Linked DNA regions of Mus musculus: regions 1, 2 and 3 are each reported to be linked to region 4. The links are microRNA targets in miRTarBase. Many come from high-throughput screens and were not tested one by one. Region 4 holds a microRNA gene; each other region holds the end of a gene's coding sequence. Distances are between the middles of the regions.
Evidence for each region. Region 4 holds the annotated microRNA mmu-miR-759 (GCAGAGUGCAAACAAUUUUGAC, at 2,405-2,426, opposite strand). A microRNA usually pairs through its seed, bases 2 to 8, with sites in the 3' UTR of a target mRNA and lowers its output. Matches are read on the target gene's strand: a 7mer-m8 pairs with bases 2 to 8, a 7mer-A1 pairs with bases 2 to 7 and ends in A, and an 8mer does both.

Region 1: miRTarBase lists Slc15a1 as a target of mmu-miR-759. Seed matches in the 3' UTR shown: 7mer-m8 at 1,277-1,283.
Region 2: the mRNA of Pde4c is a reported target of mmu-miR-759. Seed matches in the 3' UTR shown: 7mer-m8 at 6,097-6,103.
Region 3: miRTarBase lists Sema3e as a target of mmu-miR-759. Seed matches in the 3' UTR shown: 8mer at 2,426-2,433 and 7mer-m8 at 3,244-3,250.

What each region holds. Positions count from the first base shown.
Region 1 is chr14:121,453,955-121,461,562 of GRCm38, reverse strand. Slc15a1 (solute carrier family 15 (oligopeptide transporter), member 1) reads left to right here. Exons shown (of 23, transcript NM_053079.2): 23 at 790-1,942. The coding sequence ends at 981. It overlaps Gm33299 (a long non-coding RNA gene), which reads left to right and starts at 4,672. Exons shown (of 3, transcript XR_383790.2): 1 at 4,672-5,493; 2 at 5,793-5,897.
Region 2 is chr8:70,749,573-70,757,099 of GRCm38, reverse strand. It overlaps Pde4c (phosphodiesterase 4C, cAMP specific), which reads right to left. Exons shown (of 17, transcript NM_001310465.1): 17 at 5,914-7,259. The coding sequence ends at 6,993. It overlaps Rab3a (RAB3A, member RAS oncogene family), which reads right to left and starts at 2,397. Exons shown (of 5, transcript NM_009001.7): 1 at 2,237-2,397; 2 at 1,017-1,244; 3 at 535-653. The coding sequence starts at 1,244.
Region 3 is chr5:14,251,368-14,258,975 of GRCm38, forward strand. Sema3e (sema domain, immunoglobulin domain (Ig), short basic domain, secreted, (semaphorin) 3E) reads left to right here. Exons shown (of 17, transcript NM_011348.2): 17 at 971-5,322. The coding sequence ends at 1,423. Among named protein-coding and RNA genes, the nearest start is that of Sema3e, 230 kb to the left of the region's middle.
Region 4 is chr14:79,733,278-79,740,885 of GRCm38, reverse strand. It overlaps Mir759 (microRNA 759), which reads right to left and starts at 2,455; the gene lies at 2,358-2,455.

The DNA of each region.
Region 1 (7,608 bases), 42 Mb from region 4:
TGCACACAAGGTCTGCCTGGTGGCTTCCTGTCACTAGAGCAGTAACACTGTTTTCTGTTTCAGTGATGTTTCAGGAATGGCCATGGGGCTTCATGCTCTTGAGCTCAGACATTGTCAAAAAAATATGTGCATATAACTGTGTGTGTGTGTGTGTATGTATGCATGTACACATATAAGTTATAGATAGATAGACAGATAGACAGACAGATAGATAGATAGATAGATAGATAGATAGATAGATAGATAGACAGACAGACAGATAGATAGGAGGGGCTGCTGTATATATATGCACCATGCACCTGCAGGTGCCCATGGAAGCCAGAAAAGCATTGGGTCCCCGGAGCTGGAGTTGTAGGGTTTGTAGGTGTGTCAGGACTACAACCAAGGACTTCTGGAAGATGCTCAGACCTGTGGAGCAATCCCTCCCACCCGTGTTCAGCACACCCATCTTTCCTGCCTGTGTTCAGCACACTCTTTGCCTTGCGAGGCCAACACTTGTTCCTTGCTGGCTCCCCATCTTTCTGGCACCAGCCTGAATTTCAGAAAGTTCCTCTCATCCTCCCAAAAGTCTTGTTTCCACATCCCATGTTAGCAGGAAAGTGTTAGCTGCTTCTTGAGCATTTGAGAAAATCTAGCCAATGTCTCTGTTGGGGGCCTACATCTCCTAGTTCCACTTCAAAGTATCTTCCACCTAGAAGTAGCAAGAAGATATGCATGAGACATCATGTTAACTATGTTAACCATGACCTGTGTTTGTTTGTTTTCTTGCTCCACCTCTGATTCCTTCAGTGGGCTGAGTACATTCTGTTTGCCTCATTGCTTCTGGTTGTCTGCGTGATATTCGCCATCATGGCTCGATTCTACACCTACATCAACCCAGCAGAGATTGAAGCACAGTTTGATGAGGATGAGAAGAAAAAGGGCATAGGAAAGGAAAACCCGTATTCTTCATTGGAACCAGTCTCACAGACAAATATGTGAAGGGCAGAAGGCAAGTGGAGAAAGATCCAAGTACAACATGAGCCCTGACCTCTGTCCAAGGGACAGGACACTCCACCACAGAGCCCTGATGGAGAAGACCTCAGAAGTGTGAGCCAGAATAATAACAAAGCAGTTTTCTAACCAACAGCTGTGAACCTGAAACTCTAGGGGAGCCTTTTTTATTTAAAAAAATTTTTTTTTTAATTTTTTAAATTTTTTTTATTTTTTATTTTTTTTGCTTGTTTGTTTGTTTCGAGACAGGGTTTCTCTGTGTAGCCCTGGTTGTCCTGGAACTCACTCTGTAGACCAGACTGGCCTCAAACTCAGAAATCCACCTGCCCCTGCCCCTGCCCCTGCCCCTGCCCCTGCCCCTGCCTCTGCCTCTGCCTCCCAAGTGCTGGGATTTAGAGGCATGCACCACCATGCCCAGCTATAATTTTTTTTTTTTAAGACAGGGATTCTCTGTATAAGCCTGACTGCCCTGGAACTTGCTCTATAGACCAGGCTGGCCTTGAACTCACAGAGATCTGCCTGCCTCTTCCTCCTAAGTACTGGGATTTCAGGCATGCACCACAACTGCCCAGCTAAAATATTATTTATAATATGCACTTTCTGGTTTGTTTTTGTTTTTCTTTTAAACTGGGCTGTATCTTACATTTCTGCCACAGAAATGAACTTAGCTCAGATTAACTTAATTTTGAAAAGGCAATAGTATTGTTTTTTCTAACAGTTTTATGAAAACAATATTGAATTTACAGAGGGCTTTTTTAATAGTGTGTAATGAGTATCAACTGATTCAAGCTAATTGCTTTACCTTGGGGTTTTTTTGTTTGTTTGTTTGTTTGTTTGTTTGTTTGTTTTTCTAGTCTCCTTTGCCTTACCTCTTTTTAAATTATGTGTAATTCAAAAGACTAGTCATGAGTTGTGAAGTTTCACTGGTCTGAAATAAATTCTAGTTCTTAAGAATATGTGTTTGTGTGTCTTTGGGTATGGTAAGAAACTTTCCTATGCTGTCTGGTTATATTACTGAAACATGCTCATTGGTTACATTATTGATACATGCTCATTGGTTATATTATTGATACATGCTCATTAAGATATTTGAGAAACCAGCAAAGCATTAACAAAAGCAATAACCACAAAGGGTAAAGTCAGGGACACAAAACATCAGTTTATTTCTTCTTGGTCCTGTTTTTTCTGGGGGCGGGGTGGGTATCTTTTAGTACTGACATCTTTCTGTGTGCACATACTTTTACATCCCATTGTGGTTTTCTTGGATTGATGACTATTTGTCTACTTTATCCTTCTAAAGTACTATGAACTAATTCATCCGACAGACATTTGGCACTTTTTTGTTTTGTTTTGTTTTGTTGCTTGTTTTGTTTCAAGACGGGATCTCAGCCTATAGCCCTAACTGTCTGAGTTCACTGTGTAGATCAGGCTGGCCTCCACCTCACAACCACCCACCGGCCTCTGCCTCCCTTTACAGCTGTGTGCACTGTGCTCAGATTACTTGTTTATTTTAAACTTTTTTTTCTCTCATTCTTCTCTCAAATATTACATCCTGACCACAGTTTCCCCTCCCTCCCTCCCTCCACTCCTCCAGTTCCTCCCCTCCCCTCCCCTTTCCCCCAGATCCACCTTTTTTCTTAGAGAGAGAGAGAGAGAGAGAGAGCAGCAAGCAGGCTTCCCAGGGATATCCGCTGAACATGGCCTAACAAGTTACAATAACACTAGGCACACACCCTTGTATCAAGGACAAGACAGCCCAATAGAAGAAAAAGGGTCCCAAGTACAGGCAAAAGAGTCAGAGACACCCCCACTCCCACTGTTCAGAGTCCCACAAGGACACCAAGCTACACAACCATAAGGTATATGCAGAGGACATAGCACTGACCCATGCAGGCTCTGTGATGGTCACTTCAGTCTCTTTGAGCCCCTATGAGCCCTGCTTAGTTGAGTCTGTGGGCCATTCTTGTGGTGCCCTTAATCTCCTCTACTGTGGGGTTATCCTGGCTCTGCCTAGTCACTTTTTGTTTTGTGTGTGTGTTTGCCATGTTTGTATGAGTACCCTCAGAGGCCAAGTGAGGATGTCAGATGCCCCAGAGCTGGAGTTACAGACAATTATAACCCACCGACTAACATAGGTACTAGGAACCGAATTCGGATCCTCTAAACGAGCCGACACTCCTTGTACCTGCTGAGCCATCTCTCTCGCCCAGTTTATTTGGAGAGAGGGTCTCATGTATCCCAGGCTGGCTTTAAGTTTACTATATAGCTGAAGCTCTTGATCATCTGATCCTCTGGATTATGGATATGTGCCACTATGGCCAGACTTCTTTGGTTCTGGGAATTGAACTCAGGGCTTTGTGTGTTGTGACAAGCACTCTACTGATTGGTTTTCATCGTGGAATGGAGCTATCATTAAATAATCCCAGATGTCAGGCCCACGATAGTCGTGTCTGGTGTTCCCATACAAACAGGAGTTATTAGACTTCACACGGCTCTGAAGATAGACGCTGGCTCTGGATGAGAACAGTCTGTGCTTGACCTGGAAGCGGCTTTGTGCACCCAGCCCATCGTTGCACATAAAAACCGCACAGACCCAAAATCTGAGGGAGAACTAATGAGATTATTACACTTAGCTCAGCAACTTTCCAGCCCTGTAGGGCGGTCCTCAGAGCCCCTTAAGTCAGATCCACGAGCTCTTTTCTCCACATGCTTTTCATTTCTCTCCACAAACTCTGACCCAATCAACCCTGGACTCCTCACCGTGGAGCACAGCACACTCTTCATTCCCAGGTCAAAGGGAAGACCCTGTCCAGCCTTCACCCCAGCCCTGCCTCCCTTTCACACCTCTCCCTGTAAGAGTTTCGTGGATACCTCTCCCGGACACAGTGGGGTTCCATTGTGTCTCTGAGCTCCCAACGTGCCAGAAAATTCCCAGACTTCCATTTCCCACTTTTAAAAATGCTTGAGTAAATGTTCAAGTTTGACTGCTGCTGGCTATTTTAACCATAGGCAGTATGCATTTTGCAAAACAATTATATACTCTTACCTTTTTGTTACAACAAAGGCTGAACATAGACTGAACACAGGGCATGTGCAGACAGCAGGCTTAGCAGTCTTCTGGTGCAGTCCAACAGCCGTCCTATAGTGTGGGTTAGGATTATTCCACTCACAGAAGACAAAGAAAATGCAAGTGGCCTACCCAACGCCGTCCCCACAGCCTGGCTCTCCATGGAGCAGAGAATGCTAGCCTCACATCTGCCACCTCTCAACACCATACTCAATCTATTGTAAGGAGGGCACCAATCATAATCTTTATGATAATGGTGAGTCAGCCTTCAAGACCTTCACTTCTGACATAAGAAAACTGAGAAAGAGGACGGGAGAGAGGCTTTGCCATTCAGATCATTTGCTGTTCTTGCAAGGACCCAGGTTTGATTCCCAGAACCCACAGGTAGATCACAAGCATCTAAACTCCAGTTCCAAGGAATCTGACGCCCCCTTCTGGCCTCTGAAAATTGGTGCACATACACACATGCAGGGGCAAAACACAAAAATAAATAAATAAATCTAAAAAAAAAAAAACCTTTGTGGTGAGTCTTTCCCCAGGATGCTGCATCTACTGATTACCACAACGTGCCTGATACCGCGAGATTATAGCATCTCCTGTCACGTGACACAGCCAATCCAACGGCTGAGGCCATGTGAAAGGAATAAGGCAGTGTGGCTACTGGGAGCCTGCTAGACCAGTGTTTCCAGCACCCTGAGAAGGACACCTACAGCTGTCTCGTGTGGGGATGAGAGACTGGAACCCTGACTCAAAGGGCAAACCAAGGAAACAGAGCTACCTTTACCATCTCAGAGGGAGGCCTGGGCCCCCGTGAGGCAGTGCTACCAGAAGACACTTTAACTTCCTCCCCTGGAGCCTGATTGGAGACACCGCCATTGCCAAGAGAGGTCATGGAGAGACACTCTGACCTCAGAGGGCAGCAGCTGGGACAGAGGCCAGTGAGGCCATGGGAGAGCAGTCAGTGACAGGGCCGGAGAACTGTGAGACCCCAGGACAGACTACAGGACAGCAGGAAGCCTGGTTTATTTAGTTTTTAAATTGTGGTAAAATACACAAGAAATAAAACTAAACATTTTAAGGGCACAGAATCCTGGCACAAGTCACACCAACACTATTATCCAACCATCTCCTCCATGAGTCTCCTCAAGACCTTTCCCAGCAGAACTGAAACCCGTGTTCACTGAACACCCGCCCCGACTCCCCTCTTCCGGGCAGTAAGAAACAAAACGGCGATTCCTTCTCACTTCTACTTCCGCTCACCTGCACCCTGGGACTGGGACCTTTAGCAGGCTTTCTAGAGTAGCCTGGGTGTTCGGGCTCAGCAGTGATGAAAGGCAGCTGCTAACGGGGAGACCTAGACCTCTAGCGTCCCAGCTTATCAGCAAGGCCACTGACTGCTGCAAGCAGGAACGAGGCTCTCTGGCGTCCTGCAGGTACTGGCAATTTCAGAGCGCTATGAGTTTTCATTTGATTTATTGTCTGTTTTGGTCTAACGAGACTTCTTGACTCAGTCGCTCTGCTTAAAGGCCCAAATGGAACAGTAGCTGAATGTGGTGGGCGGCCTTTCTGGTTCCCTGCAAAACAAAGAGTCAGTCCCACACTTCCTAGGGCTGAGTAGCCTGAGAGCAAGAAAGGGGTCGCTAAATCTGGCAAAAGCAGACCTGTGTGCTGGGGAACCAGCCCATCCGTAGCCCTGAGCCAAGGGTTCTTACTCCTTGTTCCCAAAACTTAGGTTGCCTTCTGGTCTCCAGGCTCACAGAAAGGCTCCGAACCTGGGCTGACATACTACACAGTGACCAGCAGAGGGCGCCAACAGTCTCTTCCCCAAATTGTACCTGTGAGCAGAAAGTAACTTCCTTTGTTGTTTTGCTTTGTTTTTGTTGTTGTTTTGGTTTGGTTTTCGTGGGGGTGTTTGTTTGTTTGTTTAAGTCGGGGGGGGGGTCTCACTATATAGACTTGGCTGGCCTGGACTTCACTAAATACACCAGTCTGCTTTCTGAGGTTAAAAGTGTGAGCTACCACACCTGACAGAAGTCACTCCCAATTTGAGCAGCCGCTGCTATTCAGCCTCAAGTTTAGCTCCAATATGACTGGCCAAAACTTTGATAAGACCACTGACATTCAGTGGCTCAAACTTCAGTAAGCTACCAAAAGTTTTACCTGGGTTGTTTTACAGTTTATAAACCTAGAGAGAATTTATGGTAGGTCCCATTTGACTTCTAAAAACCACAACCCACAGGTATTCGATAATTATTCACAAAGAATCCCAGCGAGCATCCAGGAGAAAGTGCAGTGTGAGCCAGTCACAGAGTGAGCAATGTCCGTGTGTCTGGGAGTCCATTGTCCTCAAAGGGCTCGCAAAAAAGAGGAAACAAAGCAATAAGTGGGTGCCCTGGGTAAGAAAGGCAAGTGGGCATCAGCGTTTGGAGGCCATCGACCTCCGAGGAAAGCTGGGACCCCATGACACAGAGCACGGGGAAGCTTACCCCAGGGAGGTCCTGGAGGCACCCCAAGTAAGGTAGAGAATTCTGACCAAAGTGCGACCAATTGAGGATCAGCTGTCTGTGGATTTGAAGCACGGGGGAGACTGTGGAGGCGCTGTAGGCTATGGGAAACACACACACACAGGACAAGGCTGGGCAGTTACCCTCTGTAGGTAAACACTGCAAATCTGACCCACCATCCCTTGTCAGCTCTGTGCACCTGCAGACATTGCCATCGCATGTGAAACAGAGCATGGGACCCCTCAGAGCAGTTGTGAGGTGGCCAGTTGAGCTCATTCTTTGTAAAAGTATTTTTTAGTCCCCTGATGTGATTGTTATCTCAGGGGCTTACTACTTCTGTCTGCTAACCGAAGCCTAGTTAGTCCTGGAAGCTTCTAGCCTCTGTACAAGCTAATCTAGGCCTAGATGTTCTCAGCCTCTGAATAAACTCACTCTTTCTAGTCCTTCCTGAACTCTGGCTGGCTGGTTCAACTCAGCTGTCCTGGCTCCAACTCTTCTCCAAGCTGACTGATTCAATCTGGCTCCTCTCAGTTTCTGACTGAATTGCTCTGCTTGGCCTCATCCTAACTCTGGCAATCTGTTCTAAGCTTCTGGCTCCTTCTCACTCTCTGACTCCTTCTGTCTTCACCTGTGTCTAGCTTGTTCTCTCTCTACAACCAGTCTCTGTAAAAGTCTCCCAGGAAAACTGCCTCTGAGTTCCATGAACTGACTGAACGTAGCTGACTAGAACTCAGACATATGCATGCCTTTGTCTCCTCTGAGTGCTGGGATTAAAGGCATGTGACTAAGACCTGGACCTAAGTTTTTCTTTACCTGAAACTTGCTCTGGACAGGCTGGTCTTGAACTTAGAGATCTGCTTGCCTCTGTCTTCTGGGATTAAAGGCATGTCTGTATTCCAGCCAAATCACATAGACCTAGCAGGTCTTTGTATGTGATCTCTTATCAGAGCAGCCACATTCTAAACTAAAATTCCTCTACAATTCTTGGTTCTGTTGGTTCAACCATTGTGTATAGGTCACCTATCCTGAGCCAACTGAGCCTAG
Region 2 (7,527 bases), not on the chromosome of region 4:
ACCTGGCCCCATCCCCGAGTCTCTGCCTGTGTCTAGCCCTTGCAGGAGAGACCACTGCCCCTTGGTAACTGAGTCCAGCCTATCTCACTCAGACCTCTCCATCTTCCCAAAGCTGGGAAGATGGGCCGGTGTCCACTACACCAAATGTCAAGACCTGGGGGAGTTAATTTTTGGTGCTGTGGCTGGAATCCAGGTTCTCATACATTTGAGGTAAGCGCTTGGCCAGAGAATCACTTGACCTCAGACAAGTGAGCTAACGTGGTTCTCCTGCCTGGGCTACCTGGGTAGAGATCAGTGGGAGGTTCCTTGTCTACTCACTGGTTACCTTGTGTGCTTCCACAACCTCAAGCCTTGGGAACAGCCACATGGCTTGTCCCACCAGAGGCCTACTCTTGGTTGTCTTTTGGCCATGCTGGGGACGAACCCAAGGCTTTGTCCTGGCCAAGCAGGCACCCTACCAACTAAGCTTAGCTAAGCTTAGCTAAGTCACCTCCAATCCCAGCCTTGTGTTTTCTGAGTAGGTGGGCTGCTCACCAGTCCTGCACTGCATTAAATGACTCCTCATTGGTGATGTCATACATTAGGATGAAGCCCATGGCGCCTCGGTAATAGGCTGTGGTGATGGTGCGGTACCGCTCTTGCCCTGCTGTGTCCTGGGGAAAAGAGGGATAGGTCAGAAGGGACCTCGCAGCAGCCCCCGAGAGAAAAACGTGCTCCAAGGTTGTCCAGCAACCACTTTGAGGCCCGGGGACAGTGGGTCAGGAAAAGCAGACAGTGACCCAAATGGGTCACTGCAAGGCCACTTAGTCACTCAACAAACATGTACTGGGTGCTGCCTGAATGCCCTGTGCCACACTATGCTAGAAGATGAGTGGGGATGCTCGGGACTTAGGAAAACGGGAAGCTCATACTGGGATGGAGATGCAGGCCTTAAATCCCAGCGCCAGCCGATGGCTAGCCTCAGCTTCCTTTTGTGGGGGTTGGCAGGAAGACATCTCCCCTCCAGCCCTACACACCCAGATCTGCAGCTTGATCCTCTTGTCGTTGCGGTAGATGGTTTTGACCTTGAAGTCTATGCCAACGGTGCTGACAAAGGCTGGAGTGAAGGAGTCATCTGCGTAGCGGAAGAGGAACGAGGTTTTGCCCACGCTGCTGTTCCCAATGATCAGGATCTTGAACATATAGTCGAAGTTCTGGTCTGAGGACTCCTTCTGCCCATAGCGAGAGTCTGTGGCGGAAGCCATCTGCGGGAGGCGTGGCACAGAGGGCCTGAGGGGAGCATCAGGACCACGCACAGGGTGGGCACGGCACAGGGGTAGGTGAGGATACCCCCCAATGTCACATGCTCAACCCCCCCAACCAACATAAGGCAGAGCTGTGACCTTGACAGCACCAAGGTTTTAAGCAGGCTGTGAACCTCAGATTCCCCTGTACCCTGAGGGAAGACTGAGCCTCCTCTGCCTTCCCATCAGTCTCTCACAGAGACCCACACCGGAACATGAATACAGGAGGATCCCCAGTTCTCGCTCATCCTTATTTTTCTCCTGCAAGAACTGGGGCCCTGAGATAGCCACATCACGTGACGAAGACAGGATGAACGTAGGCTCACACACACAAAATCGCGAGCACAAGAGCGCGCACGCATACACACACACACACACACACAAGCACAATGAAGCATCTAGGGCAGGCAGACCCAAACACCTGCCCTGCATGCAAGAGTGGTGCTAACAGGCGAAACAAGCAGACATGTATGGTGTGTGCAAGCCCATGTGTGAGCACAGCTCCCTGCACCAATGCACGACTGTACCTGGCCATCCGGGAGGACACACCACACACGCGCATGGCTCCACACGCGTGTGAGCACATACTTGAACTAAGATCCACGCGCACCGCGCACGCGGACCATGCACGCACAACGTATCACAAGTGTGCACGCTGCGCGTCCTGCGGTCACTCGAGCCTCTCCATGCCCAGCGGGCGCGCACACGCGTGTTCACCCCACGAGCACGAGCACGCACAAGCCTCCCGCAAGGCCTGGCTTTCCCCTCCCCCTCTGTCGCAGAGCCCGGGCCCCAGGTGCCAGGTTAAGGGCGAGGGGTGCGGGATGCGGGACCAAGAATGCCAAATGCGAGACCCATAGCCACTACACCCGAGTTGCGCTCCCCTTGATCCCCCAGCTGTCAGTGAAACGCGGGCTCCTCAGTGTGTGGACCTGGGTTGCGCTCACCCTTACCCTCTCTAAGCTGAGACAACGCTGGCGACGGCGACCGTGGCGACTGCGCTGGCGACCGGGCCCCAGAAGAGGATGCGGGGGATGCAGGCGGCGGCGGGGGCTGCAGGCGGCAGCGGAGGAGGCTCAGGCCCCTGCAGTCCTAGCTGACGTCCTGCAAAGCCAGGGGCGGGGCTTTCTATGCAAACGAAGCTGTGACGTTAGGGGAGGGACTGCATCGACAGCCGCGGGACCACACTGGCCTGCGCCGGCAGAAGAGGGGCAGGGCCTGGTAAGCCACTGGAAGACGGGGCTCTAGGGAGGCATGAAGTTTCCATTGGCTGATGCTCTCGAGCGACGGACCGAATATCAAATCAGCGATTCCTACGTCTTTAGAGGCCCAATGGTGACTGCTAGGTGTTTGAAGGGCGGAGAGGCTGAGGCCAGGACCTAGCTCTGGTTGGAAACTTGTGGTTAGAAGTCCTTGCTTTTGAGACGTGAAGCACTCAGGAGTTTAGGTTTTGTTTTGAGAAATGGTCTCAAGTAACAAGCTGGTCTCGAACTTGCCAAGTAGCAGAGGCTGATCTTGAACTCTTGATCCTCCCGCCTGCACCTCACAAGTGTTGGATTGGCAGGCATACATCTTGATTACATTTTAGGGCTCAAAAAACTCATTAAAGACCACACAGAATTTTTAGTCCCAGCACTCAGAAGGGAGATGGAGGCAGATCTCTGTGAGTTCGAGGCCAGCCTGGTCTACAACGTGAGTTCCAGGACAGCAGGACTATGAAGAGAAACTTTGTCTCAAAAAACAAAATAAACAAGCAAATAAATAAATAATTTTTAAAAAAAGAAAGAAAGAAAGAACTGTTTTTTGATGGGCTGAGGATAATTCTCAGTTTGGTGGGGAACCTGCATCACAAAGACCTGGGTTGATCCAGGCTCCTGTTCTCTGCACTGGGAGGAGAAGGGAAGGAGGGGAGAAGCAGAAGTCCAAGGTGATCCTCAGTTACATAGTGTCTTAAAGTCAGCTTGATCCACATAAAACCCTGCCTCAAAGAAATAAAGGAGAAAATCCGGTCTGTGCAAAGAGAAAAGGGTCTGATGAGTCCCCAGAGAACCCCTTGCTTCCTTGCGCACTTAGGGCTCAGAAGTATCCTGACCCATAAGTCTTCCAAAATTGTAATGAAAGACCAAGGAAGCAGAGAAGATTCAAGAGTAGCTGCCCAACGCCCTTTACGATATGGACACTGGGACCCGGGTAACCCTGTGTCTCAGGAAGGTGGGCGCAGAAATGCAGACTTCCAAGCCGCTATGATACACACGACTCATTCCTGCAAATCTGCCTGTCAAGGTGGGAATCTGGGGTCTATCCTATTCTTCCTCTCCGTGCGGCCGGGCAGGGTCCCCATCGCTTCCATTCCCACAGGAAGCAGAACTGGGAACGTGTCCTGGCCCTGTTTATAGACCTCCCCGCCAGCTGCGGAGGCGCCAATGGACCAGAATAACTTGTCGCCTGGATGCTCGTCCACCCCCGCGAGGAGCCTGGAGCCCCGCCCAATCCGGGGCCGCTGGAGGAAGCTTATTTCCTGCTTCCCCTGCACTTCATGCAGAGACACAAAGTGACCATCAGTTTGTTACTTAGCGAGCTCCGGGCCCACGCGGAGGCTACTGTGGGGACCGGGACCGGGTTTGAGGACAGAAAGGGTGCAGGAGGAGCCTGGGACACTGGAGCCTGATTTGGATTTATTCCGAAGGGATAAGGTTAGGGGAGGAACCCATTTGCTTCCACCACCAAGCAAGGGCTCCAGGAGAACTGTGCTGGTAGCTCAGTAGGTGGCAAGGCTTCATCGGAACACTTGGAAAGCTGAGGCAGGAGGGTTGTTGAGTTCTTTATCATCCTGGATCACAAAGTGAGACCCTGTTTCATACTATAAACGTGTGCGGGGAAACTGCTGGCATGGTAACAGAAACCTTTAATTACACAGCACTTGGGAATTTCTGAGTTTGAGGCTCCCCAGAGAGGACAGCACAGCTGTCTGGAAGAATGAAGCAAGTGTGTTAAAGGCCTGGGCAAACAAGAGCACAGGCAGAAGAAGGGACAGAGGGAAGCTGTTCCTCAAATCTTTCTAAGTTATATTCATTTATTTGTGTTGGAAAGAGGGGAGTGTCACAGGACAACCTAGGAAGTCAGTTCTTTCCTTCCAGCACAAGTCCTAGGAATGGAACTCACGTCATCAGGTTTGTGTGACTTCCAAATTCTCCCACAGTGAACACACATGACTTTGTTTAACAAGAAATCTCTAAGGGTCGCCTCTTAAGACATCTGGAAGGAAGAAGGAAATGTTCCAGTGTGTGACCCCAGATGGCCTTTTGTGCCTCCTGGGGATGAATAGCCCGAGTCATAATATTTACAGAGGAAGTCGCCTGCCACTCTGGCTCCTTGGAGGCCTTGGTCAGGTGCAGAGTTACAGGCTCAGAGGGAAAAAGGAAAAGGGAAAGAGAGGGACCCCCCCCCCCCCATGGCACATGCCTGTTACCCCAGCCAAGCACTCGAATGGTGGAGGCAAGAAAATAACGTTAGTGTCATCCTCTGCGGCAAACAAGTCTGACATTAGAACTTGAGACCATGAGACCTTGTCTCAAAACGGCCAAAGAACTGTTTGGAAAACAAACAGGGAATCAGTCATACCGCCAGGGGGCACCAGTGCCCACTCTTAGTATATAAGCTCTGAGGGACTAGTTATGACTCAGTTTCCACACAAGAGAATGAGTAGGTGTCGCGGCTATTCCTGGTTGTCAACTTGACTATATCTGGAATGAACTACAATCCAGAATTGGAAGGCTCACCAGTGACCCTAATCTGGAGGCTTGGAGATAGAAGTTTCTGATCTGGATCTTGGTATGGAGATCTTAAGACATAGTGGCTATGGCTTCCAGAAGATTAAGACAGGGAGATCTCATGGGCTGGAGAGATGGCTCAGTGGTTAAGAGTACCGCTGCTCTTCCGAAGGTCCTGAGTTCAAATCCCAACAACCACATGGTGGCTCACAACCATCCGTAATGAGATCTGACACCCTCTTCTGGTGCATCTGAAGACAGCTGCAGTGTACTTACATATAATAAATAAATAAATCTTTAAAAAAAAAACAAAAACAGGGAAATCTCTGAGTTCAAGGTCATCTGTGATTAAAGGTGTGGTGGCACACACCTTTAATCTGGGCTACACCTTCTGCTGGAGACCTACATAAGGACATTGGAAGAAGGAAGGCTTTCTCTCCTTCACCTGCTTGCCGTGTAGGACTGAGCAACTGCTAGATCCTTGGACTTCCATTCACAGCTGCTGCTGACCACTGTTGGGAGTTGAACTGCAGACTCTAAGTCATCAATAAATTCCTTTACTATATAGAGAATACCCATAAATTCTGTGACTCTAGAGAACCCTGACTAGGGAACGCCTATGGTGAAGAGAGGTGTGCCGGCACTCTGGTTTGAGAAGCCCAATCTTGTCAGAGACAGGGATCCTCATTGACGGGAAGACTGAGGCCTGCAGTGCTCTTCTATTTATTCTATTTTTGCAGTGATAGAAATGGAACTCAGGACTTCCCAAAAGCTAAAGCTCTGTTACCAGAGCCACACCCCAAGCCCCTCATTGGGCAATTCTAGGCAGAAGCTCCACCCCTTAGCCACACTCCAGCTACTTTTTTTTTTTTAAAGATTTATTTATTTATTATATGTGAGTAACCATTGCTTTCTTCAGACACAAAAGAAGAGGGCATCAGATCCCATTTCAGGCCACACAGTGGTGGTGGCACATGTCTTTAATCCCAGCACTTGGGAGGCAGAGGCAGGTGGATTTCTGAGTTCGAGGCCAGCCTGGTCTGCAGAGTGAGTTCCAGGACAGCCAGGGCTACACAGAGAAACCCTGTATCGAAAACAAACAAACAAAACAAAACAAAACAAAAAACAGATCCCATTACAGATGATTGTGAGCCACCACGTGGTTGCTGGGATTTGAACTCAGGACCTCTGGAAGAACAGTCAGTGCTCCTAACCACTGAGCCATCTTTCCAGCCCACTTCCAGCTCTTTTTATTTCTAGTCAGGCTGCCCAGCCTGGACCAGCTGTCTCCACACACACACAGCCAAGTCTGGGGGATGCCTATGGTGAAGAGAGGTGCACCAGCACACTGGTTTGAGAAGCCCAATCTTGTCGGAGACGGGGATCCTCATTGATGGGAGGACTGAGGCCTGCAGTGGTCTTCTAGGAGGGTCACCGGCCTCCTGATATCTAAGAAGAGTCTTGTGCAGCCAATGGTGTCAGGAGACACCAGACCTCAGTGGGAAGTGTTCCCCGCCCGCATTTTACGAAAGGGATTCCCCCGAGGGACTCAGTAAAGGCTTGCAGCTGGACTGGTGAAGGCAACATTGGTTCCATCTTTAGTGCCAAAAAAGAAACCAACTAAACCATAACACAGAGTCCGACTGCATGTGCTGAAGCTGACGTGCAGACTGCAGCTGAGTCTAAGTCTGTCTTCTGAGATGCAGGAGTCGGCGCTTCCCAGGGCTGGTGCCATTCCAGTCTGTGGGCAGAGCTGGTCCCAGCCTCCCTCAGGCTTGGCTCTGTGTAAACCTTGGCTGTCCTCTTTGAGTGGTGGAACGTCATCAGTGCCCATAGGTGCCCATGGCCTGACCAGGACTCCACGGTCCACACTAAGCTAGCCCAACTCTTGTTGGACAAAGCAGACCCTGGGCTCTGGGCTGGCCTTAGAGGACAGGAGTTAAGTGCTGGGTAACTCTGAGGACTCCCTGTTCAGTGCTGTGCACTGCCCTTCATCCTCCTCTTCCTCCTCTTCCTCTGCTTCCTCCAGGGTCAGCTCAAACTTGAACCTGTCCGAGCCCATGGTGTGTGGAGGGCTGCAGGGAATCCTACTCTGATACCACTCTCTGTTGTCTTCCAAGGTGTCCAGAAGCTCCTGAGCATCGGGGTGCACTAGGTCAGCCCATGTCTCCCACAATGGCTGAGCGATGTAGTCAATGAATCCCACCTTAGGGTGATCACAGAAGGGGCAAGTGAGACCCAGTGAAACCTAGAATTAGTCCCATCTCACAGTTGGCCACCTGGTGTTCTCAGCCTGGAATTCTCATTTGCCAACTCCTATTCATCCTTCAAAATCCTCTTGAAAAAAGCCATCCTGGCACAACAGGAGGAGACTGAGGCAGGGTGATCTCAAGCCAGTGAGTTCTAGGCCAGCCAGGGTGACAAAATGAGATGTCTTCAAAACAACAAATCAAAACATCTGCCCTAGCTGGCTG
Region 3 (7,608 bases), not on the chromosome of region 4:
ACCATGGCACATGTGCTGCTTGTGCACACACACAACAATACATACATACATACATACATACATACATACATACATACATACATACATAAGTTTGAAGAGGAAACAAGGTAGTAGTACCAGGAATGAGAGCAGATAGAGTTAGGGAAGGGAATATTTGGTTTTTTTTGTTTTTTGTTTTTTTTTTTAAGTATTCTGGCTGTCCCCGTCACATGCTCTCAAAAGTATAATGTCTGCTTGAACTATGACACATCTTAAAGACTTTATTAAATATTTAGAAGAATAGAGGAATGCATGCATTTGTATTCTTGTAGCCTTAATTCATATATGGTCTTTCGATCTTTGAAATAAGACATTCTAATATTGCTGAAAATTTTCACAAATAAGAGATTTAAACGTCTGCATACTCTTAAAATTATTCTTTAGTATGATGCTTTTTTTCATTGAAATTACTGTCTCCGTAAGATAATATGGGACGATAACTATAATTTGTGTGTGTGTGTGTCTGTTTGTAACTTTCTTCTTATTGCACTGTATGTCATATAATAATTTCATATCCCAGCATTTAATTCAAATGTTTCCAATACTTTTTCTGCACTGTACTACTCAGGGATGCTGTTTTGGCATACTTGACTGGGACAGACATATCATCGATATAATGAAAGCATCTATGCTTCTTTGTGCTGTGTGGATTATTTTTCTCCCCTTTAATGAGATTCATTAGGGAGAAAGGTCTCTCTTGCTCCTGCTAGTAACTTCTTAATGTATTGGTGGGAAATGACCTCACTATCATCGATAAATGTAGTTTCCAATTTAAATAATTACTTGGCACGTTTGTGGACCACCATAATTGTATGGTGTGATCACGAAAGAGAAAGAGTATTTAACGGGAAGAAACCCAGGTTGGTATTTTCTGGACTATACGATACTCATTGCCATTTACTTATTTGTTCCTTTGATTTTGGTTTTTCAGGTGAAGACGGATGACAGAGTTGTCAAGATGGACTTGGGCTTGCTCTTCCTCAGAGTACGCAAGTCAGATGCAGGGACCTATTTTTGCCAGACAGTAGAACACAATTTTGTCCATACTGTGCGTAAAATCACCTTGGAGGTGGTCGAAGAGCATAAAGTGGAGGGCATGTTTCATAAGGACCATGAAGAGGAAAGACATCACAAGATGCCCTGCCCTCCCTTAAGCGGTATGTCTCAGGGGACAAAACCGTGGTACAAGGAATTCTTGCAGCTGATTGGCTACAGCAACTTCCAGAGAGTGGAAGAATACTGCGAAAAGGTGTGGTGTACAGATAAGAAGAGGAAAAAGCTTAAAATGTCTCCCTCCAAGTGGAAGTATGCCAACCCCCAGGAAAAGAGGCTTCGCTCTAAAGCTGAGCACTTCCGCCTGCCCAGGCACACGCTGCTCTCCTGAGGGCGCCCTCTGCCGGCGGCTGAGGAACCTAGGATGGAAACATTTTTTTAAAGGGGGGGAAAAAAAAAAGACTGAAAGCATGCAGTCTCTTTCCATTACTTCAAAGAACTTTCTGTAGTACTGAGAGGCTGGGAAGGTGTTTTAAGTTATTCTGCATATTCATCTGACTGTACAAACATCTCTCTCACAGTACTAGTACTTAAACGAGTGTATTGCTTTAAAAGGCTTCACGTATTTATCAACATATGATCGGGCTGTAATTTTGAGCTTGCTTTTCAGGGAAATTATTTTGCCATTGGGATATGTATTATAATTATAATATTAAAGAAAAAGTTATAGGTTTTCATAATCAAGAAAAATGTAAAACTCTTTCTGGAGTTTTTTCTTTTTTCTTTTCCTCTTTGCAGCCATAAGGTAAAATATACAGAATATCAGATATTGTAGAATTATCGTGTGAGCTTTCTGGTCAGTTGTTGATTTTTTTTTTTAAGCCATAAGTTGTATGTAGCTGTGTTGTGGTTGCTATAAACTGTACAAGAAATCTGCAACCCATCCATTCTGAGGCTTGTTCTCTTCATGAAACACTCACTAAACTATATTAAGAATATTTCTGTTTTATAAACAAGACATATCTTTTAAATTTCACTTCAGTGTGGAAGGATGGAAGATAGCCTCTCAGAAAGATATTTTTAAATAGTTTCAAACCATGAAAGTAGAATTCTGTTAAAAAGGTCTGTGCTTCCCTCTTGTGGTACAAGAAGGCATTGCATCTCTCAATGCTGTTTCCATAATTTTCCTGCAATGACTTGAAAACAAAATGTAGTAGATACATCTAGTTCACTATTCAGAAGACTCAATTAAAAAATAATTTTATATAATAATTTAATATGGAAATAGCATGCTTCTGGTTAATTCATTACTTCACAACACAACGAAGATGTTAACTGCATTTGAGCTTTGAAATAGAAGAAAGTACCTTTCCAGTCCTACCCTGAGACAAGACACTCTGAAAGTGTGCTTTACCCGCAAAGAAATTATCAAAGCATTCTTTCTCAGAAATGAAATCTTCCTATTTTATATTTACTTCTTGGATTCGTTTTACTACTGACATCTTTAGAGAATCATTATCTTTGTCTTATGAATATAATCAAAATTTATATTTTTCAGAATGTTTATTTCTTGAGATTTTTCTTCTCTGTATTTTAAAGAGTTAGCAGCTTCCGTTCTAAAATATGATTTTTATGAGGCTTTTCAGTTCGGTAAGAGTAACGCAAGTGGATTGTAATAAGAACAATTATGAATACGTATTCAGACTTAAATTTAACTATTATGTCAGCTATCTCAGTATGCTATATAATTAAGAATATAAAGTGTTGAGAACTTCTAATGGATTTCTTTTTCTGTCTAAAATTAGTGACTACATAAATATTCCACAATTTTGAAATTTTAAAATTTTGGAAATTTTAAAGTCCAGAATTTCTAAAACATATAACTAGTATGAATAAAGAGAATGTTGACATCCTCTGAAAGTCCACACGTTATTGACTGTAGAATCCACTGTGTGCCATTGTTCTCCAGCAATAGTAGTTGGCAAAAGGGAGTATTCAAAACTTTTAAAATACTGTAGTTTATGAACACAAAGGGGGGAGGGAAAATTGGGGAATTAAAACCAAAACCACATCACTAGTTCCTAAGGAAAGGATATGTCTGCAATATTACAAGAGAGCAGAAAAATCTATGGAGAAGTTTTTTTTGTTGTTGTTTTGTTTTTGTTTTTTTGAGACAGGGTTTCTCTGTATAGTCCTAGCTGTCCTGGAATTCACTCTGTAGACCAGGCTGGCCTCGAACTCAGAAATTCACCTGCCTCTGCCTCCCAAGTGTTGGGACTAAAGGTGTGTGCCACCACGCCTGGCAGGAGAGGTTTTCAAATGGCCCTTCCACTTAGCAAATTACAGGTAAGGGGAGAGTTTTATCTTAACAAATAACATAAAATAAAAACAAATTAAAGTTAAAAAAAAAAAGGAAATCAGACATCTATGAGTACATTTTAACCTTAACTCTCTGACAGGCAGCTAAAGAGGAAATGATCTTGTTGTGAGCTAAGTAGAATTCAAAGAATATTTTTTTTACAACTTGAACAGTAAATGCAAATAAAGACCATTGAATTAAAAATCAGACATTAATCAAAAAGTAACCTAAAATATACTGATTTAAATAAACATGATAAAATTTCAAGGGCTTGGATACAACTCTAGGGAGAGCAGTAAATTATATATAAATATGTATTTATATATACATATTGTCATGTATTATACATCCTCCTGTACACCCATTTCTGGTAAGAAAACTGGGAACAGACATAGACAGGCAGCCAGAGAGACAGACAGACTGGGAGTGAGAGAGAAAGAGAGAGAGAGGGAGAGAGAGAGAGCGAGCACAGGTTCCCAGGGTATAACTGATGTACCACTGTCTCTGTCCCTCTTTCCTCTGACCATTCTTGCATGTAGATCTCCAAGAAGTATAAGGTGCATCACTAAGCCCTTTCAGAGTTCATGCCAACAGAACACAAATCTACAGAAACAAAAGTGTTTTGAAAATCTGAACCCTGCTACATAAGCATCACCAGTCTTTTGTTGGGCCTGTGGGGTTAAAATTCAAGACTCTCCTTTGAAAAGAATTCTTCTGAAGAAAGCCATGATGATTCCACCATAAACTCAGGTATCTGTAGGACTCTATAAAAGTAGGAGCTCACCTTGAGATGTCCAGACATGACCTTGGCAAACAAAATATATCCCCAAAATACATAGCACACCCAAGAACCTAGCCTCCCATTATTGTTCCAAAGAGGCCCTTCTGTATAACTGGTTTCCTGCTTCTCCAGGTCTCATGGTATCATCTAAAACAAGTAGCCTCTCCCTCAACATAACACAAACTGCCTCGCTACAGAACCAGGCACAGGAAGAACACCACACTTAGGAAGGTATCAAGACTTTGGAAATCTCTCTCCTTTTGTATTAAATGTGAATATTGCAGGGAGAAGTTTCCAACATTGATGAACAGGAAGGAAAACAGAAATAAGTCCTAATAAATCCAGAGCAGGGGATGAAAAGTCTACACTTGCTTTGTGAATTTCAATGCACATAATATATGGTAACTTTATGTTAATTGTCTTCCTTTCCACAATTGACTACATCAATAGGACATTTTACGGAGTATGTAACAATTGTTGTGGGGTGTAGGGTTTGGTAAATCTTCATAGTAATTATGAATAATTGTAAAATTTGTACAATATGACAAATCATTCTGGCTGTTAGTCTGAAGCATGAGAGAAACAGCAGTTTTTTCCTTAAAGATGACATATTTAGCCTCAAGCATACGGAGTACCTAATGTTATATAGATACTTTATATCCCAGGTAAACGTCACACTCTTGTGATCAAAACCAGTCACTGGTTTTGATCAAAACATACTGCTTGTTTTCCAGGCCAATAATTGCTGATTTGGGTCAGATACAATTGCTATATTCCTTATGAATGCTCTTTTGCTTGTTGTAGCATTGTTTTAATTGCTGTTTGGTTATCTTACTGTCTTGGAAGAACAACTTTATATAGCCACCTTCATTATACATAATATGGTTTAGCTCTGACTAGATACTGGAGTGTCTTTGTCTCTATGTTGTCTCTTTTACAGTCTGTAAGCATGTGCCATATTGCTTCTTTCCACTGATGATAAGCTCTGAGACTCATTCTTACCTGGTAATGGGCTACAAAGGACCAGTGACTGTGTCTCCTTGACTATCATGTAGAGTCTCCACCCAATACTACACAAAGTCTGTATTATTGAATGGAATTTCTATTTCATTTGACTTAGATGAAAAACAAATAAATATTCTCCAAAGCACTAAGTGCTATCAGAGAAGTACTTTCTACCTTCTGTATTCTATCCTCCCTGCCTTGCTCCATTCTTCCATTCTTCCTTTCCTCTTCCCTCTCTTCCTGCCTACCTGCTTCCATCCCTTCTTCCCTTCTTTCCTTCTTCCTTTTCTCCCTTGATCCCTACAATCCTCCTGTCATCTCTTAATTTTCCTTCCCTCCCTCCTTCCTATTTTCCCAGTTGAATGTATTTCATACATCCAGCCTGATGTGAGCTCTGTTGCCCAGCTGAAGGACTTTCTTTAACTTAGAGAAGAATTCAATGTTCTTTCTGAGAAATTGTTGTCAATTTTTCCAAGAAGGAAAAAATATCATTAATCTCTCTTTATAGCAGAGGAGTTTATTTAGTCCATGCTAGTTTTCTAGAAACATCAGGGGGGAAAATCCTTTCAGCATTCTATTCTCCAGACAGAAGTTGGAAAATGAGCATGCCCCCAAATAGCAACTATTTGTGAGTTGGGTGGTGGGAGATTATTACAAGCCTCAAGTTCTCTTTTAATGTATCCAAACTTTTGTCTTCCCTACTATATTTTTAGAGTAGGGCGAGATTGTTTAAATAAAATTTCAAATTAAAAGAATCTCTATTTGAGAGGTTTGTTTTGTAGTCAAATTTTATGCTGTTGGTATGTACAATGTTTAAAATAATTTGGTGCCAAATTCAGGAATAGTGGGAAAATCATTGTGGCCCTGCCATGCTGTCAGTGCGTAACTTGAGTAAGCAAACCTACAGCTATCATCTCTGAGAAAATAGGATAGAGTTTATCCTGGAACCCGATATGAGTGACCACTGACTTGGAACAGGGATTTATGTTACTACAAGTACCTTGTTCTAATATAGTCACAGATTCACAATGTTTATATAGTAAGAAAACAACAGAAAGCAATGGATCAAGCCTTCTTCAAATATATTGGTGGAAAGAATTGGCTGGCAAACTACAGACAAGTGAGGACACATGAGCTGTGCATTTCAGATATGGTCTGATGGCATTCTTATTAACTTTTAGCTGAGTGCAGAGTAGCAGTCTGTTAATATACTCTAAAAGAATTTACCTGATAGCCACAAATATGTGAGTCAGATATCCAGGCAATGAGTAGCTAGCTATCAAAGGGGTAAAGATACACCAAAGTAATTTGGTTTCAACCTGCAACATTTTCATTCTCCACCATCATGGACATTTCAGCCAGTGAATCAATCATGTAGAATCTTCAATGTAGGTCTGGTTACTTGTGGAGTTTAGGTTTAAGGTCTATACTTGAAACTTGCATCTTTCTATGTGTCATTCAAGGCCTACTATGTAGGCCTCTTTTCTGTGTAGCACTAGATGAGACCATCTAAACTTCTCAATGTGTATAATGTCTTTAGTAAAAAGGAAAGGCTTTGTTAATTAAGCAAGAGGTTTTGTTTAAATGAATGTTTTGGCTAGTTTTGCTTCTGATATATGGGGTCTAATCCAGAGCCTTAGACAAGCTTGGCAATGACTCATCTATCTTCTGGATTCAAAATACTAATAATAATAATGTCAGATGTTGAATGAGGCTCAGACTGGAAACTCCCCATAATCTCTTACTGCACATAAAGCAAATTCAATACCTTATATAGCTTGGTGTCCTTGGAGAACTCCCAAAGGTGGGAATAGGTGAGTGTCTGACTCTTTCACATACTCTTGGGACCCTTTTCCTCCTACTGGGTTGCTTGTGTATTCGTGATATGAGCATTTGAACCTAGTCTAATTGTAACTTATTAGGACATGTTTGGTGGATATCCCTGGGAGCATTTTTTTTTTCTTTTTGAGAGAAACAGAGAAAGAGTGACATGAATCTAGGGAAAAGGGCAGGTAGATTGGGGACAGGGACTGGTAGGACTGAAGGGAGGGGAAATAGCAATAAGGATCACACACACACACCACAGACAGATGATACGTCTTCAAAGATTTTCACTGGCTCCCTTCTAACCTTCAGCAAAGCAGGTAGGCAGGACATCCATTTTCTAGGTAGCACAATATGAAACCAGGCATGTTTTTGTCATGACAGGGAAATGAGACCCAATATCCAGTAGAAACTACAAGGTCTGGTTTTTAGACCAGAATGCACAGACAGACTCTTTAGACCTACACTGGAATTAGAAGAGCTGTGAACAAAGAAGACATACCTTGGTTTCTACCAAGTCAACTCTAGCCTTGGAGGTGACACATAATCACCCTCCTTTCAAGACAGGACACACTCCTGTGGCTGTGAGATTCAGCTGTAGCTCAGC
Region 4 (7,608 bases):
CCTCCGGCAGTACCCAACAGGCTGTCCCATGATCTTTTCAAAGCTCCACACTAATGAGCTGCCAGCATCCACACAAACAGCCCTGTAAGAGGAGAACAGTATAAATGTGCAAAGCAAAAGAATGAGGTTTGAGGAGAGGTGCTAAGTTTTCCCAATGGCACAGTAAAGCCATAGGAGGGCCACAACCTCTGAGCCACCTCTACGTGACCCCATAATCTAAGATTACCCTCTTAAATGAACCCCTGCCACACAACCCACTCTTAAATCTAACATGCCAAGGGCAAGCACAGAAGCAGAAATGTCACCAATAGAGATAGACTTTAGCTAGACCACATACAACGTCCTTGTGCATATATCTAAGGTCACCCTATTTTTTCTGCATGGTTCATGAACAAAAGGGGTTTTGTGGTTTGGTTTGGTTTGGTTTGGTTTGGTTTGGTTTGGTTTTGGTTTTTATGTGCTTTGCTGTTTAACTCGCATGCATGTCTGTATGAAGGTGTCAGATCCCCTGTAACAGACAGTTGTTAGCTGCTTTAAGGGTACTGGAAATGGAACCTAGATTCTCTAGAGGAGCAGCCAGAGCACATAACCACTGAGCCATCTCTCCATCCCGTGAACAAAATTAAAAAAAAAAAAAAAAAAAAAAAAAACAGCCATCTCCAGAAAGCTGTCTTCCTAATGAACTGAGTGGCACACTATTCCACATGGATGTGGGGCCCAAGGAGTTATTTCTGTTTGCTGTTCTTAGTTTAACACAGGATGTAAATCTAATTGGAACGGTTGTGATTCACATCTGGAATTTTCCAATGAATAACCCATTGCCTAATTGGCCCCTTGAGTTAACAAACGGTTGCTATTTGGTGACTGGGTTGTTTTTTTTTAATCTGGAACAACATTTTGTTGCATTTAGTTCAACATTCTTTTTAAATTTAATTTAATTTAATTTTAATTATTATTGCTGTTATTTTTGCACACAGAACAATGCTAGATATCAAAGGAAGGAATAAGAGAGGGATGGGGAATAAAGATAAAGGAGGTAAAGACTGGGAATGTAGTTCAGTTGAGAAGAACATTTTGCCCCAACTTTGCTCCCTAGCACGTCATAAATTAGACCTGTAACTCCAGGACTCGAGATGTGGAAAAGGCAGCTCTGGGTCATCCTCACCTACATAGAGTTCTGGGTTAGCCTGAGATACATGAAGTCTTTAAAAAAAAATCCCAAGAGATAAATAATATACTGTTTTCTACATAATAATATAATTAATATTATTTATAATAACATAAATAACATACAGTTTTCTGTCTCCAGAAACATGAGTGCTGTTTGTATGAATAAGAAATGAAATTGGACATGGAGCCAAAAATATCAGAATTAGAAGGAAAAGACAATGAATGCTATAGCAGGGGTCAGCCAGAGGCAAGAGAATAATTACACAGATTTACGAAGGAGCATTTGAAGGAGTGCAGATCATAAAGACAGAATAAAGTGCGGAGGTGAAGGAGAGATGGGCATTCCAGGTGGGCGGAGCAGCACATTAAAGACAGATTCAAGCAGACAGGCTAAGGAGGATGAAGTTAGAAGTGTAGACTGGGGTCAGATGGTGAGCAGCTTTGAACGTGGCTCTGCAGGCATTGGGGAGCTACCAAAGGCTTTGTAGTGAGAGAATGGAGTGCTCCCCTGCCAGCCCCAAATACCTGAGATACTTCTAAAAGAGAGTCGAACTGCTTTCCTATTTAAATCACTGCATTTGGGAAATAGATCACTTAGCCCTAATTTAGCACAAGAATGCCCTCATTTTACAAAGGAACCGGAAGCTTAGAGAAGACTTAGCCAGCATGCTCTATCAATCCGTAGCAGAACCAAGACCAGTCAAGAGAATCATGCCTGAGCATTCCCCCTGCCCCAAAAGGTGTGATGATGTAGTTGATGATGGTGGTGGTAGTGATTTGAGGGCAGTGGAGGCAATTATTTTGGGCAAGATGCCTTGTCATTCGTATCCCTCCTCCTCTGTACATTTTCCATTTTTAATGGAACATGAAACAGATTATCCACGTAATCACTTTAACCAATTATCTGTAGTTGATGAACTTCCCTGCAACTTAATTAGCAAAGTTGTTTCCCAGAGTAACAGTAGCACAGCATCATCTAAAAGTCACTTCAGAAAGATGGAACAATTCATTAACAATTACTAATGTCTGCAGGGTTGAAGGATGTACAGTGTTCATTTGGAGAACGAGGAAACCACACGTAATGGCTTTCTCCGTCCTGGTTTGTCGCGCTTTGTGTCCACGAGATGACTCACGTTGCCAAAGCCCGAGTTTAATTAGCATGCTTAGTCTGTGCTGCTACCTCCATTGGAACAAATTAAATGTTTAAACAGCCAGTGCAAACATTTAGATCTGAGTCAAAATTGTTTGCACTCTGCCAGTTTAGGCATTTAATTTATTATAATCCTGCCCATAATACATGCCTTGAAAGTCATTTTTTTGTGTGTGTGCTGAAAAATACCGTTCATATTCCAGCTGATGATATTGAATCTGATACTATCAGAATCTGATGTGAGAACTAATTTGGACCACAGACGAGGGTGATAAATGAGATAATGAACGGATCCTCCTCTGTCCTGACTTCCCCAATTGACCAGGTGATAACAAAGACAGGTGCCACCCCAGGGCCTGCCTTCTGCCCTGAGCATCTCTGCTGCAGCTGAGACTGGCTGCAGCCTGAAGAAACAGGAACCTTGCAAGGCTTTGAGCCGTTTCGTCTTAAAGAGCCCTCATGGAACCTGACCTCTTCTTCCCCGCAAATATTTTTTTTTCAGAATATAGAAATGTGCTGGCTTTCCGCAATTCCCCCTAAAGTTAAAGTGCACTGGTAAGAAAAAACTATAACAAAAGATCCATTGAAATAACACCAGATACAGTGGGAGAGGTTTCAGGCTGGCGGCCTAAGAGAGTGAGGAAGACAGTCCAGAAAAATGACCCTCTGGGGTCCCAGGTGACCACAAGGTGGCAGTGAAGGTCTACTGCGCCTGCCTATTGGCACCCCCCCCCAACCTCCACCCCCAAACCTGACTTCTATAATACCATGACCCTGGGTAACCTACCTCCTCCTCCCCAACTCACTTGAAAACACAGACATCTACTAATCCTAAGTAAGAGACAGTGGTGTGTTTGTGTGTGTGTCTGTGTGTGTGTGTGTGTGTGTGTGTCTGTGTGTGTGTGTGTGTGTGTGTGTGTGTGTGTGTGTGTGTGTGTGTGTCAGTCCACAACTGAATGTCAGAGGACAGCTTTGTAGAAGTCAGTTCTCTCCTTCCACCTAAGTGGGTTGTGGAGACGTAACTCCAAGTCGAGAGATTTACATGGCAAGTATCTTTACCTACTGAGCCATTTGGACAGTCCACTTTCACATTTTAATAAAGATTCCTTCTTGTTTTGTCACAAATATCTTGGAAACTGGAAAATGGGTGGAGCTACCTCAACAGCTCCTGCTCAAAGAAAATGTGTTGAGACAAAGAGAAAGATGTTAAGGACTGTGGTTATGCAAACACACTAGATCTCCCCTTCCTTAGTGATAGAAAGCAGTGGGGCTGCTTCCTCCTGTCCCAGACATCTCGTGCAGTGATCTTTCCAGACACAGAAGAGTAGATCCAAGCCACCTAGTCGGGAAGAGAATGAGATTCCGTTAATCGGCAAATGTTTTGTCAAAATATACCAGGCAAGGTCACTGGAAACTGATTGTTCTGTTTTGGGGAACTAATCAAGGGTCCTTCAAGACTGAAAATCTGGCTCTCTCAGCCTCCATTCCCTGCTTGGAGACCATTCAAGGTCTTCCCCTGAAACATTCCAGGCTGTTGGTATCTGAAGCCCAGTCGGATTCCATAGTGAAGCTCTATCTACCCCCAAGCCTGGCTGGTGGGGGAAGGGAAGAAATCCTGCCAATGTGCTATTTCTCAAAGCAATCAACCGTGAGCAGTACGGCTTTATTTTTTTATTTTTTTTTTTTCCAGACAGTGCTGTAGTTGAGACCCAGGAGAGGGTTTTCTGTGAAAGCCCGGTCTAGGAGGTGAGTATTCAGAATCTTATTTAGCCGAATGCTAACCGAGAGGACGAACTAAGAAATAAAAGATAAAAATCCTTTCCCAGGTAACATCTGTACTGAGGATTTTTTTTTTTTAATGCTTGAGGTTTGTGATTAGACTGTTTCAAACCACACTTTAGAAAGTTAGTTACAAGTAGCATCATGACTGAGAATTCACGATGAGCCGGACAGTAAGTTGCATGCTTGTAGCGACTCTTACTACAACCTTAATAAGGAAAAAAACCTGGCATTCTCCCCTCTGTGTGTAGATGCCCAAGCTGAGGTTTAGAGGGAAAGCTGGGTAGGTAGACTAGCCGGACTGCTAAGTACAACAGTCAGCTGAGAGACCCACCTGATGGAGGAAGATGCCCGAAGTCACATGTAAACAGCCACACTCACAGCTCCTCAAGGCAGTTTGTCTTAACTCCAAATCTCTGTTTAGTTTTTTTAGCAACCATTGAAGATGAGCTTTTTCTTAGCTGGGATGTATGGAATTAAATGTGTTTAATACTAATAAAATAAGACCAACTTACTAAAGTTCTTTATGGTAGACAAGACACTAGCAATCAGCTCTGTTTCTGTGCAGTTAGCAGTTAGCAGAAGGTGGCTGCTGGTCCTAGGCTCTGCTTCAAATTCATCAAGGAGATTCCACGCTTTTGGAGGTAGGGAGCCTACCTGTTAGCCTCAGCCACCATTTATGAGCCTTCCCTTTGTCTTAATACTCAGGACACACAGAGAATGGTCTAGTGTTCATTTCTGATGCTCACCTTGAGCAGTCCCCAAGGAAATGCTTAATTCTGAGGCCGAACTTGGAGACTATTATACACACACACACACATTCCTGGCCAAGATGTGACTTCATAGTCATCTAATCAGAAGAGAGAGCATAACTAAAAATCAATGAACTCAAGAAACAACAACCGTGGCTAACTTGGTGAACCCTTACGAGAGTATAAAGAGGTTGGTCTATGACGGTTCATTTTACAGGTCAGAGGATAAGGGGAGCGTCTTAACAAATCTGCACAGCTAGACAGAACAGAGCTCTGATTGGGGTCTACTATGCTGGGTTTACTTGTCAAATCTCCACTCTCTCTCCCTCACTTTAGCTGGTAGGAGAAATTAGGGCAGGAACCTTGTTGTCTTCTGAAAAGCGGTTCAGTCAATTAACTTAGTTTTTCATTGCTGCTGTTTGAACGAGGATCTCACTATGTGACCCTAGCTGACTTAGAACCTCATGTATCCTACCCTGGCCTCACACTTGTAGCCATGCCCCTGCCTCTCTACGTGCTAGAATTATAAGCATGTACCACTACCATCTTAGACCTTAAATGAAGTTTAGATCTTAATGTGCCCCCAAGGTCCTCCTTGTTCATCACATTGGAACTATTGAGAGGTGGTAAAACTTTTAGGAGACAATCCACACAGTAGGCATTTGGTCATTGGAAGCAAGCTCTTGAAGGGGACTGTGAGACCTCTGTCCCTTTGTCTTCTTGGGCATGAGAAGAGCAGCTCCTTCCATAATATGCTGCCTTGCCCAAAGCAGTAGTAGTACCAATTGAACTGGAACCTTAAGAACTGTGAGTCAAAATAAGCTTGGTCACAGGCATTTTGTTACAGTGATGGAACACTGACTAACACTGTTGTAATAGGAGCATCCTCAGTGTATCAGTTACTTTTTGATTGCTGGACTAAAACACCGTGACCAAGGCAGTGTATAGAAGGAGAGATTTATTTGGGGCTTACAGTTTCAGAGGGATAGGAGTCCATCACCATCACGATAGATGCACAGCAGCAGACAGGCAGGCAGGCAGGCATGGCACTGGAACAGCAACAGCTGGTAACTCACATCTTGGTGCACAAGCAGGAGGCAGAAAGCACACCAGGAATGAATGGCCAGAACTCTTTTGAAACTTCAAGTCTACCTCCAGCAACATATCTCCTCAGACAAGGCCATACCTCCAAATCCTTCCCAAAGAGTTCCACCAACTGGGAACCGTGTTCAAACATATGCATCTGTAGGGGCCATTCTCATTCAAACCACCACACTAGACTAACCACTAAAATAAGAGTTACCATTGAGTCTGATGTGTATATGTAGAGTATTCATGCCTGTGTGTTCATGTGGGGGGCATATACGAATGGGTATATGTACACGTGTGCAACCAACCATGTGTGGGCAACCATGTGTGATACCTAGTGCCTTCATCAATAGCTCTCCACATTATTAATTGAGGAAGGGTCTTTCACTTGAACCCACAACTTAATGTTTCAGCTAGTCTAGCTAGCCAGCTTTCTCTGGGGATCTCCTGTCTCTGCCTCCTGTGTTCTGGGATCACAAGTAGAATACCTCATCTACCCTTCATTTACAAGAGTGCTAGAGATCTGAAAATTAGGGATAGGAAACCAGTGCATTGTAGAGCAGCTGATGAGCTGACAGCCACGGCTGTCCTGGTCACTTTGCTGGAATTCTGTACCCACTGGGAACTTCTTCCCGTCTTCACACTCTGCATTCTGCATCTGACCTCGGTTTTATCATTGGCATGTTCATATTACACATTTATATTTTGCCAGTTATCTCTTCTATTAACCTGGGCACTCTGCAAAATGACTTGTCATTAATAACACAAACTGGCTTTTTCCGTTCAGACAGCAAGGAAGTTATGGAATTGAAGGGAGGAAACTGCGTTATCTAATGCATTTCCAAAGAGATCTGTTCAGAGAGAGTGTTTGTTAGAAATGGCTAAGAGAATATCTCTGGCAAAATATAGATTAGAAATATTCTTACAGGATTTTCATGGATCAGTGTTGACCTGTGCACGTTGCCTCAGATTTTCTGACAAAATTTTAGCAGCCACCATATGAAATCTAATAACCATACTCACAAATGCCAACCCCAGTGCTCCTGTGTGAGGGTGTGTCTGTCCCCAGAGACTCTTCCCTGTGTTGTTTAGTCTGTGTGCTTGCCTTTTAAAAAGATAAGCACAGAAATTTTAAAAACGGGAGGAATCAGAAAGATTATTCTCAGCCTACTCCTGTGCCTTCAAGATGAAGAAATTAGGCCCAAGTCCAGGAGCATTCCCAAGGTCATACAGCACCGCATACGTGGGACTCAGACTGGTCACATGACCCTCCGCCCCTGAACCCCTCTCTCGGGCTGCCATGCTCTACAGAAGAACAGGAGAGGGGGACTCAGGAGACCATGTTATTGATGAATGTTCCAGAGGGACAATCAGGGCCCCAGAAATTATAAACACACACCCCACAAAAAGGAAAGCATCTACGTGCCATGGGAAGCAGCAAGGGAGGATGCAGGGTTATTAACTCCCTAGGATAAAAAGTCGCAGAGAACACCATCTGTTTGGGTTTGTTTGTCGTGGGTATTGTTGTTGCTGCTGCTGCTGCTGTTCTTTGTTTGATGTTTGTTTTTTGTCTTCTTTTTCAAACAACATTTTTTTTTAACAACTCGGGGGGGGGGGATGTTGATCCTCTCATTCTACCCTATGAAGAGACTCAAATCCAATCCTCAG